Linked DNA regions of Tamandua tetradactyla. The protein of the gene in region 3 interacts with the protein of the main gene of each other region in a pairwise test. Links are inferred from orthologs where the notes say so. Each region holds a gene or a part of one and is shown on either strand. Other genes may lie near its edges.

What was found.
Region 1: the proteins of GFAP (region 3) and SH3YL1 interact in binary tests that used the Homo sapiens proteins (3 or more experiments, as listed by UniProt). The two-hybrid records come from large-scale screens. The link is inferred for Tamandua tetradactyla from reciprocal best matches to the Homo sapiens genes GFAP and SH3YL1.
Region 2: the proteins of GFAP (region 3) and UBASH3A interact in binary tests that used the Homo sapiens proteins (3 or more experiments, as listed by UniProt). The link is inferred for Tamandua tetradactyla from reciprocal best matches to the Homo sapiens genes GFAP and UBASH3A.

Annotation. Positions count from the first base shown.
Region 1 is NC_135329.1:43,297,198-43,304,288, reverse strand, and holds the start of SH3YL1 (SH3 domain-containing YSC84-like protein 1), read left to right. Parts: upstream 1-4,029; 5' UTR 4,030-4,422; intron 4,423-4,974; 5' UTR 4,975-5,106; coding exon 5,107-5,107; intron 5,108-7,091. Other genes in the region: ACP1 (low molecular weight phosphotyrosine protein phosphatase), read right to left, coding at 3,846-3,888.
Region 2 is NC_135336.1:99,705,932-99,713,065, forward strand, and holds the start of UBASH3A (ubiquitin-associated and SH3 domain-containing protein A), read left to right. Parts: upstream 1-4,055; 5' UTR 4,056-4,076; coding exon 4,077-4,189; intron 4,190-6,084; coding exon 6,085-6,138; intron 6,139-7,134. UniProt on the Homo sapiens protein: Interferes with CBL-mediated down-regulation and degradation of receptor-type tyrosine kinases. Promotes accumulation of activated target receptors, such as T-cell receptors, EGFR and PDGFRB, on the cell surface.
Region 3 is NC_135332.1:22,511,531-22,519,501, reverse strand, and holds the start of GFAP (glial fibrillary acidic protein), read right to left. Parts: upstream 3,092-7,971; 5' UTR 2,790-3,091; coding exon 2,329-2,789; intron 1,540-2,328; coding exon 1,479-1,539; intron 1,285-1,478; coding exon 1,189-1,284; intron 410-1,188; coding exon 248-409; intron 1-247.

The DNA.
Region 1 (7,091 bases), on a different chromosome or scaffold from region 3:
TTCAATTCTAAAATTATATACAGTTTTCAAAACTGGTATTATCATGGCCACTACTTTAATTACTGAAAAGTTCCCTATGGGTGATTATTTTACTTGCTGCCATATAACCTGAGGATACTTTTAACAACAATCACCCTATCCCAAATTAAGACATTTATCATTTTGAAACTCTGGAATGCCTAATTTCAGAAATTATAAACCTATAATCTTGGCATGTGAAGTCATAATAAAGACAATCCTGCCCCTTTACAAAAAAATTATCATTAACTGTAAAAAAGCAGCAGTTTTCCCAGACTTTCTTCTGCCTGGGAAATATTCCTTAAAGTTCTCACCTGCTTTTTAACTAGGCAAGTATCTTTAAAGGGCAAGAAGATGTGTTATAAGTATGAATGAAAATCATTTATTACTATGAAGATTGAAAGCAAGGTCATACTACCCAAAAGGTCAACAATAATAAATCCTGTTTATAACTTGCCCTCTTAATTTCAAAAGTTGTGTCTTGAACATGTGCTATTTTAAAATAAAGCACATTTATTTTTAAATGGAGCACACAGGTAAAACACAATGCTTTAGAGTTCACCTATTTAAGTTCTAAAAACCTTAGATGTAAACTTCTGATTTCTTTATAAAAATGTTCCAATCTGTAAAGCCTTCAAGGTTTGTTATTTCCCATCTTCCTCCCCTCCTCAAATTTGGCAACAATATGAATACCCTTACTCAATACTATCATTTCAAGAACAGACTCACAAAAGAAAAAAAGCTCTCTACATGGGTAGAGATTATTTTACTCATTGGGGTGTCCCCCAGTACCTATCTAGCAGTGTATGGCACATAAAAAAAAACACTCAAAAGTAATTTGACACCACTAATACACCATTATCTCCACCAACCAGGATGGTGCTGGCTGTGGCATGATTAACAAGCAGCTCATGCTCTCCAATAGGTCTTAATCTTACAAAAAACATAAAATATTTTTCAATAATCTTGCCAAAATAAGGAGTTCTTTTCTGCTATTAGGCTTACCAACATACACTTCAGTCTCTAAAGAACCCATGTAAATGTTTTGAAGGCATAACATTTTGGGGGATGGGTGGGGTGAGGGTGATGCATAGTCCAGATAGGCATAACATTTTAAATTTCAAAAATATATATACAGTTCCTTGTATTCTACCTATAGTCTACTATGTAAAATGGCATCTCTCGCTAATCTATCTGAATGCACCCCTGACCATGTCAACCAGTCTAACCCACATGCTCTATTCTGCACAGATTATGGCAATATCTTCCTAATGGGTTTGCTTCTCTGCCCTTGCTTCCCCTTCAACCTAATCTCAACAAGAGTAGCAATGTTTCTTTTAAAAAGTAAATTAGATCACTTCCTGTCTCTGCTAAAAGTACTCCAATGGATTATTATCTCCTTCAGATTAAGAGCCTGTCTTCACAAAGCCTACAAAGTCTCAGGAGATATGAACCCCCATACAGTGATTCTAAAACTGGCCCACCACTTTTTTTTGTACAGCCCAGAATGAAGAAAAATGTTTACACTGTTAAATGGTTGAGGGGAAAATAAAAATCAAAGGACTATTTCATGACACATGAAAATTGTATGAAATTGAAATTCCAATTTTCACAAATAATGCAACCCAATCATATTGAATTGTTTATGTATTGTTTAGGGCTGCTTCCATGGTACAACTCTGATATGGTACTCTGGCTCTTTACAGAAAAAGTATGCTGACTCCAGTCCTAAAGCATCCACTACATTATAGTGAATTAGCTTTCCCCATATTCATCTAGAATGGTACTAGTTATATATCATTTGTGGGAGCACTGATCAAGTAGTCATTATCTTCTGAGTTCTCCCGTTCAGATGAGGAATTCTGCTTGGGAAATGGCTACTTAGTAACTAGGTCCCAGTCTTTCTGGTTTCCTTGCTGTTTCTTAAACATGACCAGCAAACTGACTTCAAAACCTTTCCTATCCTTCCTCATTAGCCCAAGATGATTTTCCAAAATATGCACTAGGCTTGCTTCCTCATCTTTCTGGTCCTTGCTGAAGTATCTTCTAGATGAGGCCTTCCTTAACCATTCTATTAAAACTGTACTCTGCTCCCAATCCCACTTCCTGCTTTATTTTTCTTAATACTTAACACTACCTGATTGAGAATACCAATTACTTACTTGTTTGTTGCCAAGAGAATGAGTTCTAGAAATGTAGGGATTTTGTTTTGTTTTGTTCACTACTCCAACCCCAACACTCCTGTGCCTGATGTAAAGAGGGGCTCAGAAAAGAACTGTTGCATTATATTGTAAAGATAAATATATGTAAGGATACACTTCCCCATTAACAGCTGCCATGATGAATTACAACAGTATGATCAACAGTATTAAGTAATCAAGGCAATAAAATGCTATTAGGTGCCCAACCTAAACAGAAATGTTTAACAAATGTGTTGGTTCCATCAGCCTTCCATGAAGAGCTTAAAAATCAAATGCAACCTACTATTCAGATGAAACAAAAATATCCCTTGGTGACATTTATACGTTTTTCCCTCAGAACTTCAATTCTACAAATACCTAAAGAGTACCAGATAGTGTTCTAAAAGTGGAAATACAAAGAAAAATAAACCAAGTTACTGCTGTCAAGCAAATTTAATTTATCTGAGATTTCAGCAGGTTATCAAAGTATTATACAATGTAATAAAAGGTGTCTAAAAAGGTCCATAGGAAGAAACTAATTCCACTTACAGGGTGTGGGAAAATAAAGATGGGATGTTTGAGCTTGACCTTATAAAATAAAAAAGCACTCCAGGCAAAATGAAAGCCCAGGAAGAGTTAACCCCATTATCACAGGCACATCACATTAACCTTCAGATGTGGAGGGACCAGCAATTAGTTTTGGACAGGTAATATACTCCAAGGAGATGGGTGAAAAAAGATAATGAAAGTAAAATGGAAAAGGCCCAGGGAGACTTTATGAAAGGCACATCATAAAAAGGAGCTGGATTTTTTTCTGTAGGAAATGAGCCATCAGAAGATTTTAAAAACTCTGACTAGACTACAGACAGCTTAGGCCTTCCTCTTTTGAGGGATGAAGGAGATACGGTGGAAGCACTCCGGTGAGGAGAGGAGATGAGGTAAGGAACTGAGAATGAACCCTGAAATGCTACACCGAAGGAAAAATCCCGAAAAACCAAACGGAAGGTGAACTCTGTTATGAGTAGGAGTCCAAAGACTTACTGAAATTCTAAGAATAAAATTCTGGGCGGGAAGATATTTGAAAGATTATTAACACAAAACAGCTCCATTTTTCCATGAAAATGGAACTGGGACACGTGGGTTCTAGAAACAGGGTTACATGGAGATCTGAAAAATCGGTCTCCTGGACTTGGTTTTTAGACCAAGAGATGAGGAATCCTTCCACTCATTGCACTGTTAACTCAGATCCATTTGTAAGCCTGGGCCAAAATAGCAAACTGGTGTTTTCATAGACCCCAGGGCACCAGAAGACTCCTAATAAGAGTGTATCAGAAAACTCACCTCTCTAGATTGGGGGGTAGGGTGGGGTGGGGGTGGGGCTGTCTATGCGGGTACAATGGACCTGGAACCAGGGACTCTAGGTAGGTGCACTGTAGGAATACAACGACTTGCAGACAGAGCTCTGCAGGTGCGACAAGGAGAGCGGGGCCCAGGTCGCCCCCATCCCACGCTAAGTCTCCATCTCCCCCTCCTTGGCCTCCTCCCGCTCACTTTTCCTTCTCTCAGCGGCGCAGCCCACAGTGCAAGATGCCGATACCCAACCCGTCAGTGAAAGTCAGAAGTGGGGTTAAGTCAGTGTTCTCTTACCCAGACATACAAACAGCACCGATTTGGGAGGCCCTGCTGCCATCTTCTCACCCGCAAATAAAGACACTTACTGAAACGGAACCACACGGCCAGAAGCCGAAGTGAGAACAGCGCATGCGCACTTCGAGCATCCGGCCCCCATGCGCCGGCGCAGTCCAGACTTCGGCTCAGCGCGGGGCGTGGTCAGAGCATGCGCGCTGAGGCGCGGGTCGAGTCTACCTGAGGAGGCGGGCAGGGGAGGGGTGACTCACCTGTCAGGTCACTGCTCTCTGGCGGCTTTTGCAGCGGGTCAATATTGACAGCAGGGATGGGAACGCTGGAAGCGACCTATTTGTCTCTTAGCAGTGCTGAACGCTGTAATGCAGCGTGTCTCGGCTGAGTTAGTTCGCTTGAGCGCACGTCTGGTGCGAGGCCGAGAGCGGGCCAAGTGTGGAGGTCAATGCGCCGACTCTGCCTCCCTGAGACACAGGATTTGGGTGGTGGGAGGCAAGCACCTGATACCTGTAGGTCTGTGAGAAGGGCCATACGGGACTCCCGAGTGTTAGCGGAGGGAGCTCAGAATCTTGCGGAGCTATAGGTAAGACTCGAGTGAAGACCGTCGATGTCTTACAGTTGAGAACACGCACGCACTCGTTCTCAGCTTTTAAGTTTCCACGAAAGCAAAACCTCCTCTGGGATCCTTAAGCCTCGTCAACCTTCAGCGTAAAGCCCCGCCGGCGTTGTGGAGATAAGTAGTGATCCGAGGAGACAAGCCCTCGCCTCTGAGCGCCTTAAGGGTGGAGTCCTTTTGGGGGACTCCGCAGCTACAACTCTGAATTACCAGCACCTTCAGCTCCCGCTTTTCCGGGTCCGCAGTCAGCGCTGTCGCAAACACACACACATATACAAGCACAGAAGTGGAGCACCTTCCGGCTCTCTATAGGGATCATCTGTCTTGGTTTTTCCCAACGTAAATAAGACCGGAATTTTTAAAAGCCGCAATGGCAGTTATCAAACTGAGCGGAGTCCCTATCCAGCTGCCAGCACCATAGTTTTATTATTATTATTTTTTTGTCCTGTGGATATTAATAAAGTAGGTGTTTTACACTGGACGAAAGTGGGTGTTTACTTGCTCCTTTACCTGTTTCAGGTGTGCAGCTTCCTAGGGACCTATCCCTACTTTGGGGAGGCGGAGCCCAAGCCAAGAGCAGTTCTTCCTCTTCCTTGGTAGTTGTTTTGGAGCTGGAGTGGTACCGGAAGAGGAGAAGGTTCTGGGGGCACAAGTGAGTACCGACATTTAGTTATGCTGGCATGAATCTCAACTTGAATGGGACAGGATTTTTTTTTTTTAATGGTAAATCACCCTCCTTCCCTTTTTAAGAAGTGATTGTTGGGGAAAATAATTTGTTGGTGAAAAAGGACCGATGATGTCTGGGTTTTTTGTTTGTTTGTTTGTTTGTTTTAACCTTTGCACATCTATAACCACTTCAACATAAACTATTCTTGAAAACTCTCAAAATGTAAGATTAGGTAGTTCCCAGTACTCTTGACCATACTGGTTTATATTATTTAAGTTTAGTCACATTCGTTTCAATTCATAGAGACACTCTTACTAAGTTTTGAATTTTACCTATTATAACTCATTTTATTAATGATTTGTAAATAGCTTGTATTTGAAAAGCCGCAAATTAATCTGTTTTTCTATTTTTTTTCGTTTCAAATTATTTTGATAAATGACATTCTCAAAACTTTGCCATAATGTTATGGGCTTGAGATGAGCATGATATATCACAGGGTAGGAGTCAGTAAGATGCCACTACTCTAATGCCAGTAAGGTGACATGTTTGGGTTTCTTTTCTTGAAATGAAAAGTGCCAGGCCATCCACACACTCTCGCCCGAACCTCCCTGTGACCAGCAGAACACGTTTACAAAACAACTTGGATAAAGAGGTCACTGTTTAGCAAAGAGCAAAGCTGTTTGAGCTGCGTCTGTATTAAGCACATGACGTCACCCTAGTATGAGCTCCTGAACTTTTCTGTGGGTCTCATTGCTGTAAAGCATTTTCTTTATTTAAAGAAGTATGAAATTATCCTAAATTGGGACATAACCATGAGAAAATAGGGTTTACACTGCTGGCTGGTAACGTGTCATTTTCACAATCATTTCAGAGTCTACCACTACTCCCTGCTAATGCTGTATTGGAAAGAATAGCACCAAGATGTGATCCCTGCCCACAGGGATCTTGAAAGTCTGACTGGCTAAGAATATTCTTTTAGGAGATAAGGTTTTCAGTTTTTTTCTGCTTATAGAATATGCATCCTGGGTTCCTGTTCTCATAGGTATTTTTATTGACCTGAAGAAATACCTGAATTAATAACGAGGTAAAAAATTTGTACACACACAATTCAGAGAAATAATAGGTCTCAGGTTTAAAATGCTATTTACTCTACTGTGCTGGCCTTTGATTGAAATGCCTGTGGAGTGACTAAATGTTGAGGTGTTTAAAAATTACTATGTCGGAGGTTAAATAATCAAAATAGGTTATAATCCTGTGTTATCTTGCTTACAGTGATTAAGAAGAAGTGGCTATTTGGTTCAGTGATGCTCTGTTTAAAGAAAATTTCAGTGAAACATGTAAATACTACCTTTTATCTTTTGTAATTTTAAAAAATAATTTTTCAAAAACCTTGCTCACCAAGAGTGTTGATATTTGACAATTTTATGATGTTTAGAAAATCTTTTTATCGGGAGATTTCTTGCTGTTTAGAAATGAAGATTTAATGTTTCAAAATAAAAAAATTGATGCTGGTCAAAAAGAAATATTGTTTCCTGTGTTGATTCTACTGAAGAGTAGAGTCACAGAAATCATATACACATTGCCTTATGTGCAAAGACATCAAGATAAAGCACATTTTTTTGCAATTTAAGACCTAAGCACATTTTTTTTTTTTAATTTTCCTTGGGAAAAGTCAGCTTTTACACCAAATGATAGGACAATAGTGGAATATACAGTCCTGTTTTGAGTCACCACCCCTTTTCAGTTTGCATTCTAGTTCTGCCTCTTAATTAACTATAGAAGCAGAGCAAGTTATCTCTGAGACTCAGTTTTCTCATCTATAAAATGGTTCTTAAAAGTACATATTGAATAGGATTGTTCTGAGAATGAAGTGAGAATATATGTAAAACACTTATAACTGAGCTTGTTATATAATAGACAGTCAACATTTAGTTTCTTTCTTATGTGAACTTAGACAAATGAAAAATAT
Region 2 (7,134 bases), on a different chromosome or scaffold from region 3:
TGGGAGTCATGTCCTGTAGAGAGGGGGAGGGCAGTGAGTTTGCTTGCTGTGTCGACTGAGAGAGAGGCCACATCTGAGCAACAAAAGAGGTTCTCTAGGGGTGACTCGTAGACCTATTTTTAAGTAGGCTAAGTCTATCCTTTGCAGGGATGTTGCATATGAACAAACCCCAAGATTGAGGGCTCGGTCTATTGATTTGGTTGCCCCGCTGTCTATTTCTTTTTTAATCAACTTTATTGAGGTTTAGTTTATATACAATAAGATGTACCCATTCTAAGTCTTCAATTCAATCAGTCTTGAAAATATATATACACCCAGTGTTCTAGTTTGCAAGCTACTGGAATGCAATATACCAGAAACAGAATGGCTTTTTAAAAGGGGAATTTATTAAGTTGCAAGTTTACAGTTCTAAAGCCATGAAAATGTCCCAATTAAAGCCAGCTACAAAAGTGTCCAAACAAGGGGTTACCTTCACTCAAGAAAGGCCAACGATGTTCAGAGTTTCTCTTTTAACTGGAAAGGCACATGGCAAACACGGCAACGTCTGCTAGCTTTCTCTTCAGGTTTCTTGTTCCATGAAGTTCTCCCCGGGAATGTATTCCTTCTTCATCTCCACAGGTCTCTGGCTGTGTGGGCTCTTGTGGTTCTCATGGCTCTCAAGCTTTTTCCAAATGGTTCCCTCTTAAAGGGATCCAGCAAGCAACCCCACCTTGGATGGGTGGAGACACATCTCCATGGAACCATCTAAGCAAAAGTTACCAATTGGGTGGGTCATATTGCCAGGGGAACAATCAAAAAGCCCCCACCCAGCATATTGAATGAAGATTAAAGGATATGGCTTTTCTGGGGTCTGTAAGAGAGTCAAACTGGTCCACCCAGGTAATCACAACAAAACCAGGATATAGAATATTCCCATCACTCCCCAAATCTCATGCCCTAGCTTTGGACTAGCACCAGTTTGCTTTCTGTCACTATAGGTTTGGGGGGGGGGGTTGTTTTTTGTTTTGGGGGGAGGTGCATGGTGTGGGAATCAAACCCAGATCTCCTGCATGGAAGGTGAGCATTCTGTTAGATTCATTTTTTAAATATATAATATTATTTAAAGTATTGTTCCATTTTGTGGCATGAATCAGCAGTGTTCCCTTTTCAGTATTGTGCCATTGACTGAATTTTCCATAATTGTACATCTGTTCACCAGCGGATGGATATTTGGATTATTTCCAGTTTGGGACTGCTATGAGTAAAGCCTTGTGAGGACCCACATTTTCATTTCTCTTTGTTAAATACTGAATGCAATTGCTAGGTAAGAAGGTAAAAGGTAACTTTTTAAGGAACCACCCAACTGCTTTTCAAAGGAGTTGGACAATTTTGCATTCAATGTAGGAATGTTCCAAGTATTCCTCAGCTTTGTCAAAACGTGGTATTGTTAGTCTTTTCAATTTTAGCTCTTTTAGACTATTTGGTGGTATTACATTGGGGTTTTAATTTACATTTCCCTGATGACTAATGATGTTGAGCTTCATTTTATTTCCTCCTTGGCCACTCACTTAACTTTCTTCGTCAAGTGTCCATTTATATCTTTTGCCCATTTCGAAACTGGGCTGTTTTTCTTCATATGTTATGGCTGCAAGTCCTCTGTCAGATAAATGCATAGTAACTGTTCTTTCCAGTTTGTGACATGCTTTTTTTTTTAATTTTCCTCATTGTGTCTTTTAAAGAGGAGAAATTTTACATTTTGATGAAAACCAATTTATCACATTTTTCCATTGTGGTTCACACTTTTTATGTCATGAGAAGGCTTTGCAAACTGCAACAAGGCAAAGACTTTTCTCCTAGATTTTCTTTTAGAAGTTTTACAGTTTTAATTTTTACTTTTAGGTTTATCGTATGTTTTGGGGTTAATTGTGCATATAATGTGAGGTAAGGTTGAGGTTTTCCACACCAGTATGCAGTTTTTCAAGCACCATTTGTTGAAAGTAACTTTCATCCACGAATGACACTGGTGCCTTGTTGAAAACCAATTGTTCACATATGTGTGGGGTTTTCTGCACTCTCTGACACCACACTATCACAACTGGATTTTAAAATTTGCATGAAAAAGTAAATGACCTAGAAAGGGCAAGACCAGCTTGAAGATGACAAAATCAGAGGGCTTAACAGTATAGTAATTAAGGCAGAGTGTTTTTATGGGCACAAAAAGGGACCAATCAAACAAGGGGCCATGACAAGCATCCAGAGACTGGTTGTCACAGACACAGTCGTCTGATTTACAGTCGAAGTTCTAAAGGACCAAAGCTCTTTTCAATGGATAAAAGTGTATGAAAATGAACATACACAGAATTAATTCAGATGGATCATACAGTTGGTAAAAGTAAAAGCTTCCAGAAAGAAGCATAGGAGACTATCTTCACCAATGTTGAATCAACAACTTCTAGAGCAGGATGCTGAAAGCTCTTACCATGAAAGAAAAGATGGGTAAATTAAATTTCACTCAAGTTAAGAACTTTTGCTTCATCTCATTATTAAGAGGATGCAAAGGCAAACCACAGCCTAGAAAAAGACTTCACCAATAAATACATCCAATAAAAGACTCGATTCTCAGAGTTCCCAGAAATTGATCAGGAAAAACAAACAACCCAATGGGAAAAAATGGGCAGAGGATGAGAGCAGGCACCTCCCCAAAGAGAATACTCAGGTGGCCAATTAGTGTGTGAAATGGAGCTCCGTGTCAGAGGAAGGCAAATTAGAACCACAGCCAGATACCACCACGTACCCAGCAGGACGATTCACATTTAAAAGACCAGGGATGCCAAGTCTGGGCAAGGAGATGGAGCTGCTGCACCTCCCACGTGCTGCCGACAGGGGGCAGACTGGTGCAACTGCCTTGTAAAACTCCTTGGCAGTTTCCACTAAAGCGTACCCGTTCCGCACGGCCCTGCAGTTGCACTCCTAGATATACACCTAATAGAAATGCAGACTTGGGGCACTAAAGGACGTACAGAACAGTCACAGCATCATCGTCTCTGGGAACCCCCCAAATGTGCATCAACTGAGAAATGGATAAGTAAGTGATGGTTGATCCATCAACAGAACACAGGAGCAATGACAGTTCATCTTTCACTGCAGCTACGAAATGCAGATGAGTTTTGCAAACATGCTTTTGGGCCAAAGAGACCAGACATAAAAAAGTACATTCTCCATGGTTCTGTTTACGAAAGGTTTGAAAAGAGGCAAAGTTAATGTAGAAGCAGCTATGATGGTTGTCTTTGCAGGGGAGGTTGGAGCTACCTCGGAGGCTGGGCAGGGTTGAAAGGGTGCTTCTGAGGTCCTGGCAATGTTCTAGAGCCAGATCATCCCTTGTTGGGGGGCTTCCCTGTGCACTGTAGGGTGTTTAGCAGAACCCCTGGCCTCTACCTACTAGTTATTCCCCAACATGACAATCAAAAATGTCTCCAGACATTACCAATGTCCCCAGGGGGCCAAGTCGCCCCATGGAATTCCGCTGCTTTATTGCTTTTCCTACAGATAGGTGGTCGTGAGTGTTCACTTTATGAGAATCATCAACCTATCCAGGTAGGATTCGCCAGCTTTTCTGTCTGCATATTATACTTTAATCAAAAAGTTTTCAAAATCAGAAAGAACACAATGAATAACTTAAAGAACCCAAAATATTTAAGTCAGTAGGGACAATAGAACGAAGCAAGGGCAGCATCTCGTTTTACAAGTCAGGGTCTCTTGGGGACCCCCATCGCCCCTGACCTCACGCCATTCCTCCACTCCTCTCACAAGACTCACCCCAAACACCCCCCAAGTCAGTACAAATGTCCATCCCCGACAGGGGCTCAGCTGGCCCCTCTGTGGAAGCGGTTAGGGCTGGTGGATGCTGCGCCCAGGTCCCTGCACAGACAGCTCTGAAAACTGTATCTCACCCAAACAGGATATTAGCTTTTGTCAGAAAGATCAAAAGTGCCTTGAGGTTTTTCTTTGCAGGCTCAGCCACTCCCCCTCGCCCTCCCTGGCTTTATCTACTCGCTTCAGTCTGCAAGGCAAACCTCTTGAACTGCGGGCAGGAAGAGATGGCAGCCGGGGAGACTCAGCTCTACGCAAAGGTCTCCAGCAAGGCCAGAGGCCGTGGTGCCTCCTCGGCCCTGGAGTCCCTCCTGGCGTCTGGCTTCCCAGCGCACACCGCGTGAGTACCTCGCCAGCCGGCCCGGGCCCCTGGGCCTTTGCCCCCAACACCCTGAAGCCAGCCTCGCTGGGCGTGGGGTCAGAACCCTCCACAGCCTTCTCACCGCGCGTCTGCAGGCAGCCCGGGGCACCTACTTCCTGCCACAGCAAAGAGGAGATGCTCTCAGAATAAGGCCCTTTCCCAACTGTCAGTAAAGAAAATGAGCTTTACTTTTTTCAAGACAAAATCTGCTGCCTGGTGGATCGGGGGGGCCCTGAAATTTGTGAGTGAGGCTGTCCCCCATTTCTCAGAGCCTGTGGGAGCTTCGGCCTGCTTGCCACCTCTTTGCGGGCAGCTCAGAGATCCTCAGGGTGGCGTGTCAAGGTGTTTCAGTCTCTTGGGGAGTGTCTGAGGCCGGGGGCTGCTGCGAGGATCACCAGCCAGCCTGGGTTTCTAAACTGCTCAGGGGAAGCCTTCCTCTTTGGGGAAAATCGCGTGAATGTCCAGTCATGAAGCAAAATGGTTCATGAGCCACAGGGCCGCACTGGCCCCGGCCTCCTCCTCCCAGATCCTCACGCAGAGCCTTTAGCCCTGGGAGCCACCCCTGCAGGGAAGGAAGAGGCCCCTGGCAGCCCCTAACCAGTGAGCTGCGGCAAGGCTGGTATTGGGCCATGATTTTTAGCCCAAACCGATTTCTTAGATCTGGGTTTTTTTTTCCAGATAGTTGCTCAATGGAAAAGCAGAACAGAAATATGCTTGTGGTAACCTAGGATTTGGGAGGTGGGAGAACTTTCCTTAAACTTTATAACAAAACCTTGCCCACGCTGGATGAATTAACTTCAAAGCCAGGCCCCGTTCCTCTCCTTCCCCAAGTGGGGACTCTGCCATCACGGCATCCTCAACAAGCCCAGGGGTGCCACCCAGGGAGGGGAACCTGCCTGTGGGCAGGTCCAGGGGGCTCCATCCTGGGCAGCTCTCGGGGCGCCTTCCCCCCTCCCAATCAGGCACCCCAGGCTGCCGCCAAGGACACCAGGCTCCCAGAGGGACCTGATCTAGCCCCCAGCGCCCCAAGGGCCCACCCTCTTTCCACAGCCGTTTGCTGCTGGTGCTGGACTCCTCGCAGAGGTGGGGGCAGGGCGGTGGTTTTGAAGCTCTCACGTGGAGCCCCCCAAGCCGGGCTCTGGGCTGAGGCCTGTCTGTTCAGAGCCCTCTGGGGAGCCACACACCGCCGGGAGCCCACAACTGCCTCAGCCAGCACCCCTTGGTTATTTCCAGCCTGCCATCCTGAGTGAAGTACCTTTCGTCCTGCTCCATTTGGTGCTGATGTTCAATGAATGCAGATCCTGGGTTATAGTGACGGTTTAAACACCGCCCAGCCCCAGGGGACTCTTTCTAGAGGGGGGACAAACAGATGCACGCTAACGCGGTGAGACCCATGATGAATGCACGGAGCGGGACGCAAAGGAGGGGCTGCACATCCAGCCCACTAGGGAAGATTCCCAGGGGAGATGTTTGCTCGCAGCCCGAGAGGGGCACCACAATTTCACCGAGGGGGTGGGCTGGATGCTGGCAGCTTTTGACCCCCGGGCCCATAGGCGGGTCCGTGCTGCTTTGGTTGGTGGGACCAGGGTGGCTGGAGTGGACAGAGGTCCAATGGCAAGGTCCCTGGGCTCCCTGCAAAGGCCTGGCGGTGGGAGCCTGGCAAGGGGCACAAGCAGGGAGCGACACATGCAGGTTGGTGTCCCCTGGGGCCATGGTGGTGGCTGCAGGGAGGGCGGCATGTGGGCACAGGCGCTCGGGCTGCAGAAGCCTGCCCTCTGAGCCAGCGGAAGGTGCCCGCGCAGAGGCTGAGGTTGGGGCTGCAGCCCGCTGCTCTCAGCCCGGCTGAGCACTCCCGTGTCCCCTCTTTCCTTCAGGCTCAAAGCGTTGGCGGCTACTGGAAGGAAGACAGCGGAAGAGGCATCCGACTGGTGAGTGGGGCTGGCTGTGCAGAGCTGAGCTGCCTGTGCGCAGAGAACCTGTCCTCTAGGGTGGAAACTGGGACGTGCTGGGGTGCTCTGGAAGGGCCTGGCAGCACTGTGAAACTTAAAACAAAATCGTTTCCATGACCCACAACCAGCACCCAGGGAAAGAGAGCAAAAGGAGGGCCCTTGTGTAAAAAGGAAAGAAAGGAAACTTTGTACAAAGCTTTCATTGATCAAAATCTGATTCAATCCAAATTTTGACTATGAAGAAGAAAAAGGTTCATACGATTTGTTGAATAAATAGGGAAGAGCAAATTTTGTGGATAGTGAAGAGAGTTTTCCCCTCTCTCTGGCTACCCCTGATGGAAAGAAAATTGCCTCCTGGTGGTGCATCCCCCACCCACCCTGCTTTACAGGGTGCAGGGCAGTGGAGAGGGGAGCTCTGGTAGCCATGAACCAGCTGTGTGACCCAAGCTACTGACTACTTCTTTTTTTGTTTTTTTTAATTTTTAAATTTTTTTAAAAATATGACAACAAACACAAACATTCTTAACATATGATCATTCCATTCTACATATATAATCAGTAATTCACGATATTGTCACATATTTGTATATTCATCATCATGATCATTTCTTTGAACATTTGCATCAATTCAGAAAAAGAAATAAAAAGAAAACAGAAGAAAATTCATACATACCATACCTCTTACCCCTCCCTTTCATTGATCGCTAGCATTTCAATCTACAAATTTATTTTAACATTTGTTCCCCCTATTATTTATTTTTATCTTGTATGTTTTGCTCATCTGTCAATAAGGTAGATAAAAGGAGCATCAGACACAAGGTTTTCACAATCACACAGTCATATTGTAAAAGCTGCATCATTATACAATCATCTTTAAGAAACATGGCTACTGGAATACAGCTCTGCATTTTCAGGTAGTTCCCTCCAGCCTCTTCATTACATCTTAACTAACAAGGTGATATTTACTTAATGCGT
Region 3 (7,971 bases):
ACACAACAATGTTGACTACCACTAAACTACTACTACTACAACTAGTAGTAATAATAGTAGTAATAATAATAAGTACTTGTTGGACGTAGTAGTGCCTGTAAGACTCTCGGAGTCATCTCATTTCTCTGGAAGTCAGTCACCCAGAGAGGAGCCCCTTCCACCTTCTTCTACCCTCCGTTCCTAGTTCTCCAGTATGGAGAAAGGAGGACTGTCTGGAGGAGGCAAGCTGTCCCACAGTCAGGGCTACCTTGGACCGGTACCACTCCTCTGCCTCCTGCATGTTGCTGGATGCCACTGCCTCGTACTGTGTGCGGATCTCTCTCAGGGCTGCCGTGAGGTCTGGCTTGGCCACATCCAGCTCCACATGGACTTGCTGCCGGGCCAGCTGTTCCTGGAGCTCCCGCACCTCCTGGTCAGGGTGAGAGAAGGGGTCCCAGGGCTCAGGATTCGGGCTTTGGCCAGGGTATCGTACAGCATCGTACCTGCTTTTACTCAGGCATTGGCTGAGAAGGGGGGCATCCCTAGCTGGAGGTAGAGGCATGGCCCAGGCTAAGGAAGGCAGGGGGTAGTTTGGGGCCTCAAGGTGTCCTCTGCCAGGGCTGGATGGGTAGGAGCCCGGTCCTGAGATGTGCCTGCATTCTGTGGGTGGGTACCCAGAGGTTCCCAGGTTCCACAGGGTCATAGATTCTGAATCCGTGCTCTGAGTTCAGAACACAGTGGGACTTTTTTTTTTTTTTTTTAATAAATGGCCCTCACTTGAAGGGAGGCAGGTGACAGAAGGGATGGAGTTGGAGAGACTAACTGTGTGACCGTAGCAAGTTCCTTAACTTCTCTGGGTCTCAGTGTCCTCTGTGAAAAGGGGATAATACTGGAACAGTTCCTACCTCACAGGGCTGTTATGAAGAAAAAAATGAGGCCATGAGGCCTATTTGAATCCAGTAAGTGGAGTGTTTGATTCACATGTGTGTGCCTTTTAACGGGGGTCCGGAATGCTCTCCTGTCTGTCTCTATCCCCCTCTACCGCACATTTTTCTCTGTATCTGTTTCTCCCTCTGTCTCTCACTTTCTGCCTCTCTTTCTTCCTCTGTCTCTGAGTATCTCTCTGTCTCAATCTCTCATCCTCCATCTCTGTCTTTTTCTCAGCTTCAGTCTCTGACTTGGGCTCTCCTCCCTCTGCTTCAGCCTTACCTCCTCGTGGACCTTCCTCAGGAACCTGATCTCCTCTTCCAGAGACTCAATCTTCCTCTCCAGATCCAGACGGGCTAGGGTGGCTTCATCTGCCTCCTGGAATGGGGAGGGGACAAAGGACCACTCTGACCTCAAACTCCTCTTCTCCCTTCCCCAGGCTTGTCTTACTTCTTCTTCTGGGGCAGCAGGAGTTCATTGATCTGAAGGGCTGGGTTTGGGGGGCTTGGTTTAGGTGGGCTGCCTCCAACCCTCCCTCCCCACCCCCCAACCTTCCCCTCTACCTCCCTGACCTGTCGATAGGCGGCCAGATTGTTCTCAGCCTCCACCCTCAGGTTGGTTTCATCCTGGAGCCTGGAGTGGGGAGGGGTGTGTATGACACATTCCTGGATCTAGGGTCTTCTGAGGACTCTCAAATCCCTACCGTGCTCTCCCTGCCTCAGAGACCCCCAGAACTGGTAGGGTGGCAGGAGGAGTAGGGGTCAAGGGGTCCTGGATCATGGGAATGGCTGGGAGGGTGGGAGGGTGAGCAGATGAGAACTTTGGCCCTAACTCATTACTGAAGTCCCTTAAGTAATGAAGTCCATTACTGAACTCCCACCAGTGAGTACTTGCTGCTGCAGGTACAAACTCACACACTTCCCCCTGCACTTGCAGGTAACACACTTGCCCTGCCAGCTCAGCAAAGCTCCACGTCCCAAGCAACTGCCGCTTGTGATGGATTTTATTATGATCGCTGCTTCACAGCAGTGCAAGTCAAGGTGACTTGCTAGGGTCACGAGCTGAGAACAGGCAGAGTGTGTTCTGAACCCAGGCTTGCCTGCTCTATTTTTCCGCCTTCTTGCCTTCTAATCCTCAGGCTCAGGTAGGTGCATTTCCCTGCCAGGATCTCAAGGCCCAGCAGTGGATGAAATGCAAAGAACCTGCCCACTGGGTCCCCCATGGTCCCCGGCCCAGCTTTCCCCAGTGGGAGTTGCTGTCCCTGGGACTCAGATCCTTGAGGCTCTAGTCCTCCTCCTGCCCCCTCCCGTCATCTTGGGGAGCACAAGAGCCCTTCCCTCCCAGCAGTGGGGAAACGTGGGAAGCAGAGAAGCAGAGCCCCTGACGAGACCCCACAGGCCCCTCCACAGTCCCCCTCCTCACTTCTGCCTCAGGGTGCTCAGGTCCTGTGCCAGATTGTCCCTCTCGACCTCGAGCCGTGCACTGTTGGCCGTGAGCTGGTCGAGGCGCAGTCGCAGCTCGCGCAGCTCGGCCTGGTAGACGTCAGCCAGCTTGGTGGGCTCCTTGGCCCGCAGCTGGTTCAGCTCGGCTGCCAGCGCCTTGTTCTGCTGCTCCAGAAAGCGCACCTTCTCGATGTAGCTGGCAAAGCGGTCATTGAGTTCCATCATCTCTGCCCGCTCACTGGCCCGTGTCTCCTTGAAGCCGGCATTGAGTGCCCCGGCCAGGGAGAAGTCCACCCGGGCCGGGAGTGGAGGGGGCATTCGAGCCAGGGAGAGGCGGGCGCCAGGCCCCAGGCGGCGGCTGGGACTCAGGCCGCCCCCCACCATCTCCAAGGAGGAGACATAGGAGCGGCGAGCAGCAGAGGTGATGCGTCGCCTCTCCATCCTGGCCTGGCTCTGCCTGCTGCTGGGATGTGAAAGCTTTATGGAGGAGTGGGCTGGCCTGCCACTGCCCAGGGTGCCCCTGGCAACGCCCCCCTGGCATAGCCTGAGGGGGTGGGGTTGGGCCGCAGCCCAGCCATGGGGAGAGCTCCTCTCACCCCACTGAGGTCACTGTGCCCAGAGGCAGGGCTTCCCGGGCATGCCAACCCTATCTGGGTCTGGAACCCTGACCACTGGACCAGGAGACCCCCTTTCCAGAAAAGTGGGTCAAAGAGGGCTGAGCCAGGTGACCTCTGACCTATCTTCCATCTCAGATTCCATAACCATTGTCATAGGCAGTCCCTCCCTCAGCACTCCTTCACTGCCTGCCTGCTCCATGCTGGGAAATTAGCAAAAAACAAACCTGTTCTATACCCTCAAGTGACAGCCTGCTACAGTTTCCTACTGAGCCCCATTCCAACAGATTCCTGTACATCCTGCCCTCTGAATACAGCCATCCTACATTCCTGCTTTCTTGTCTCTCCTTGGAGTTCTGGGATTGGGGCCCAGGTTTGGACACCAGCCTCCGTTTTCTTGGTGGGCTATCTGAGGCCTTTCTGTCTAGCCGAGGCCAGTGACAGTAGGGACCTTTGAAGGTCCCAATTGATTGGGTCGAGGGGGTCAGGTACTATACTCTCTGGCCCCTCTCCTTGGGCCCCCCTAAGCCCCTACCTTATTCCCACTGGGCTCACCCCTCCCCCTGCCTGGCCTCCTTGCCCCCTCCCCAGAGCTCAGGCCTTGACAGCTCCACAAAGCAGTTACGAATGAGCTGGCTGTTCCAGCTTGCATCTTTGTTCCTGCGACTCCCTGTCGCCCTGGTCACCCCCTCACACACCCCCTGGAAATATATCTTCTTTGAGTTCCCACACTTCAGGCTGGGCTGATGGGAAAGGCCTCTGGGGATGGGTGAGTTTGGGAACCCAGGAGCCACTGAGTGCAGACTGGGAGCCCGGACCCCAGGCCTGATTGCCCCTTGAGCCTTCGGGTCGGTCTACAGCTGTCTACCTTGGTTCTTAAGGGTCAGAGCCCTGCCCAGGACCCTCACCAATCTATGTCCTTGGACTTCTGGGAAGCAGGCGGCCCTCCTCCCTCCCACCCCCTGCCACCCCTGCCCATGCCCTGAGCTGCTGATCCCTTTTCTGGGGCTCTTGCTGAAAGGAGCCTTGTTCTCCGCCACCGGTGAGGGCGCCGTGCGGGAAGGGCAGCTCCCGGGGGCCTGAGTTGCTTTTATCCTGAGATGCCAGGCTGTCAGGCCGGGGGGTAGCCCAAGTCCCCTGCTCAATGGGTTTCTCGGAAGGCATCTGAGGGGGGCTGGGGTGCAGTGGGAAGCAGGCTCTGTGCCCACCCTGACTATTGTTTCTGTGCCAAGGTGAGTCATTCAGTGGGCACCAGGGGAAGGCCCTGGAGAGTGGTCCAGCATGCCAGGTCTCCAGCTTTGCAGACAAGGCCATGCTGCCCACCCTCTCCCCAGCTCTTAGAGCCAGCGCAGGACCCTGAGCCCCTCTCAGGGTAATATCCCCTGCCCCATGCCAGGGGACATGCTCTTCATTTGGGCATGTCATGAGCTGCCAGCTGATGTCGCCCCTGTGAGTTCCAGCACAAACTGAAGGCCTGAGAGTCCCTTCCTTATTCTCTGGTCACATCTGATCCTGGGTCCTGAGCAGTAATATGGGGAGGGGGCACCCAGTGACCATTCATCCTGTCGTGGGTTGGTGAGCTGGGGACCAATAGGGACTTGAAGAACAAGACAGGGGACAAGCCCGGGTTCTAACCATCATCTCTGAGCTAGTTGTGGCCCCCTCAGATTGACTAGCAAATCACAGCATGTGGTCTCCCCTTTTTGTCCAAGTAAAATCCGAATGAGTGCAAAGCAATCCTGGAAATGAAAGATGTAACAAAAGTAGGAAGGGCTTGTCAGAAAAGCTGATGAATTGTGCTTCTGTATATGAGACAGAGGTTCATTTCAGAACCAGCAGAAGGGGTCCCCCAGCCTCACCCCTTCCAGCTGGGCCGCTGTCCCAGGCCCTGGCTCTCCCTGCCCCCATTCCCAACCTCCCATCTAGCACTCAGACCCATCCCCACTCTCAACCCTTGACTAGCTAACGGTGTTCATACAGAGAAGCAAAGGGGCAGACGGATTTGGTAGAGATTGTTTTCCAAACTTGCATTGTTTTGTATTACATATTTATTGTAGAAAAATTAGAAAATAAAGATAAGCAAAAATATTTTTTTAATTAGCTGTAATTTTGCCACCTGGAGATAAACACTACCAGATTTTCTTCACATATAAATGCATTTTTTAAAAAGTGGGCTTATGCTGTACAAATGGTTTTGTAATTTGTTTTTTTTCGCTCAATATGTTATGAACATCTTTCCATATCGATAAATATTTATCCACATCATCATTTTCACAGCTACATGGTTTTCTACTGTATGCATTTATTTAACTGAGCTCTATTGTTGGACAGTTATGTTCTCTTTCTCTCTGTTCTAAATCACCACGCTGTGATGTTTTCCTGCCCTCAGGCAGACGCAGCCCACAGACACGGGCAGGCTCGCAGCCCTTCTGGCCTCCACCCCAAGGCCTAATTATGGTGTGGCTCAGTCCCCATTCTAGATGGCACCTCTCTCCTCCTGCTTCCCTAACCTGGTGGCCCAACATGTGAAGCCTCAGGCCCATCCCTAGACTGACCTCTGGGCAGCAGGACGCTGCCAGCCAGAGAGAGAGATTGCCTGTATCCCTCTACATGGCCTTCTGCCAAGCTGCACCCCACTCCTGAGCCGAGGTGGGTATAAGAGGGCCTCCCACTCCTTGAGTCTCTCCGTGCATCAGAATCTGCCACGATGCCCTCCGGTCACAGGCAAAGCCTAGATGCCTCCCCAGTCAGACCAACTCAACATCAAGCTGAACATGCATACAAGGTACCCAGTATTTTCCAAAGATGCTAGCCTCTAATTCAACTGGCCATTTTGCTGCTTGCCACCTGGCTGCCTCTGATCATGCTGCTGCCCCTTTCTTAGGGGCAGACCTACGTCTAGAATTGAGGTCTCCTAATTTTTCTTCCCACTATCTGGGAGCAAATCAAGAGTCATGCTCCCTTCATATTCCAGGGCACAGCAGCTTCATGTGGCAGGAGCAATACACGGGTAGCCCATGTAGCACTATTTGGCTTAATTACTGTGTGGACAAAAAAGCCTGGAGGTGGATATAAGAAAAGTAGAGGAGTTGAGAACAAAAGAAAAGTGAGTGGGATGAGAACAAAAATCCCTCTGGTTCCTGATGGCCCAGTCCATCCTACAGCTGAGTGTGGGAACCGAGCCCTGGTGGCCGCTAGATGGCAGTGCTCAGCTGCCCAGGTCCTAGCGGCCACTGGACAGCCAATTTAGAGTCACAGAGAAAGCCAGTTTCTAGCTTTAGGCAGGTGTTCTAAAACCCAAATTTGCATCTCCCAGAGAGAGCACCCCTTTGATTCCCTAGACTTGCCTCCGATTTCTATGGCAGTGTCCTCTAGGGGAGAGAGCAAGGCCTTGGCCATAAATTAGCTGTGTGATCTTGGGCGACTTCAGGAACCTTCTGAGTCTCCAAATCCCTATCTGCAAAATGGGCACTCACCATATCTACTTATGAGGTGGTTGTGAGTATAAAATCAGTGAGAACCACACATAGCAGGTGCTTGATGAGTCATGGCTTCCACTTAACGACAGCTACCCTGTGCCAGGGGCACCACTCCATCCCGTTTGAGAAGCTCTTGGTGTACTCCTACCTCCTGTGGCTATGGATCCCATCTGCATTTCAACTTGAGGCTTCCCAGTGAGGGGACCTGTTCTCCTCCTTGGATGGGAGCTTTCTCATGCTAGCATCTGTCTTCCCCGTCAGACTGGTGTCTCCCTAAGGTGATAGAGTCTCTCTCCTCGCCTCAAACTAAGGCTCCCACAAGAGAGGATTCATACCTCCTCACTTGGCAGGGAGAACCCATGGCCAGCTGTCAGTTTTGGACCTGCTGGAGGGCAAGGATTGTCTCCCTCTTTAGTGGGAGGGGGCGCTGCCTCAGAGCAGAGACTGGTCCTCCCCATGCTCAGCCTGAGTCCAGCAGCCTCTCTGGTTAGAGGGGTATGACTCCTGTGATCACAACCACTCTGGCTGCACCCCCCTCCCGATTCCTTCTTCTTCCTCTTCCCTGCCATCTTGGAGCACAGGGAAGGCATCAGCTCACGCACCTTCACAGACCCCAGGGGGCCAGACTCCTGTGCCAGGGTTAATAAGCTTGGGCCCTTTCTCTCCCTCCTTCCCACCATAGCCAGCATCTGCTCCAGACAGCCCACCCCCACTGCCACTGCTACCCCCCACCTCCCTGTCTCAAACCTCTAACCTGAGATCACTTTGTAATTGCTTTTCCCTATCTGCTCTGCTCCCCTCTCCCCTCTGAGGTCTTCCTGCCTGAATCCCTCAGGGCGGGTGAGAGGCAGGGAGCACATGTTGTCCTGGTGGGAGGAGAGGGCTGGTGGGCGGCCTATTATTTCCAATCCAGTGGTCCTCTAAATGGACAGGAAGAGCCAGGGAAAGGGGCATGAAAGGGCTAGGGGTGAGCCAAGAGGAGTCCTTGGGATGAGCTGGAAAAGCTTCCAGGCCCCCAGGGGGTGCTTCTGGTCCCTTCCAGCTCCTGTTCCTTCCTGGTCCCTCTTCACAAAAGAACCATGAAGGAGGGGAAGGCAGCCAAGAGCAGATTCTGGCTGAGGACCAGGACCCCTAAATCTAGCCAAGAGTCAAAAGGAAAAAATCCCTGGGGGAACTTAGGGACAGATGAGAAGGGGTCTGAAAGACTCCCAGTGGGACCCCACATGGTGATGAGGTGCCCTGTGGGGGCCAAACCAATGGCTGGGTATGTGGGTGACCCAGAGGAGAAAGCCTAGGCCCCTCTCATTCACTGAGGCCAAGACTGAAGGTTCTGGCTTGCAAACAAGGGACAGGTCCATCCTTGACTCCCTGAATGAAAGGACCATGCCCTGTTTTCTGTGCTTTCAGCTCCTAGCACAATTCCTGGTTCTGTGAACTGGGAGGGAATCTGTACCGCCAGACTGTGGACCAGGCATGAGCTGCAAGGACTGAGGTGGGCAACGGAGTATGCATCAGGGGCCTGGGAGGAGA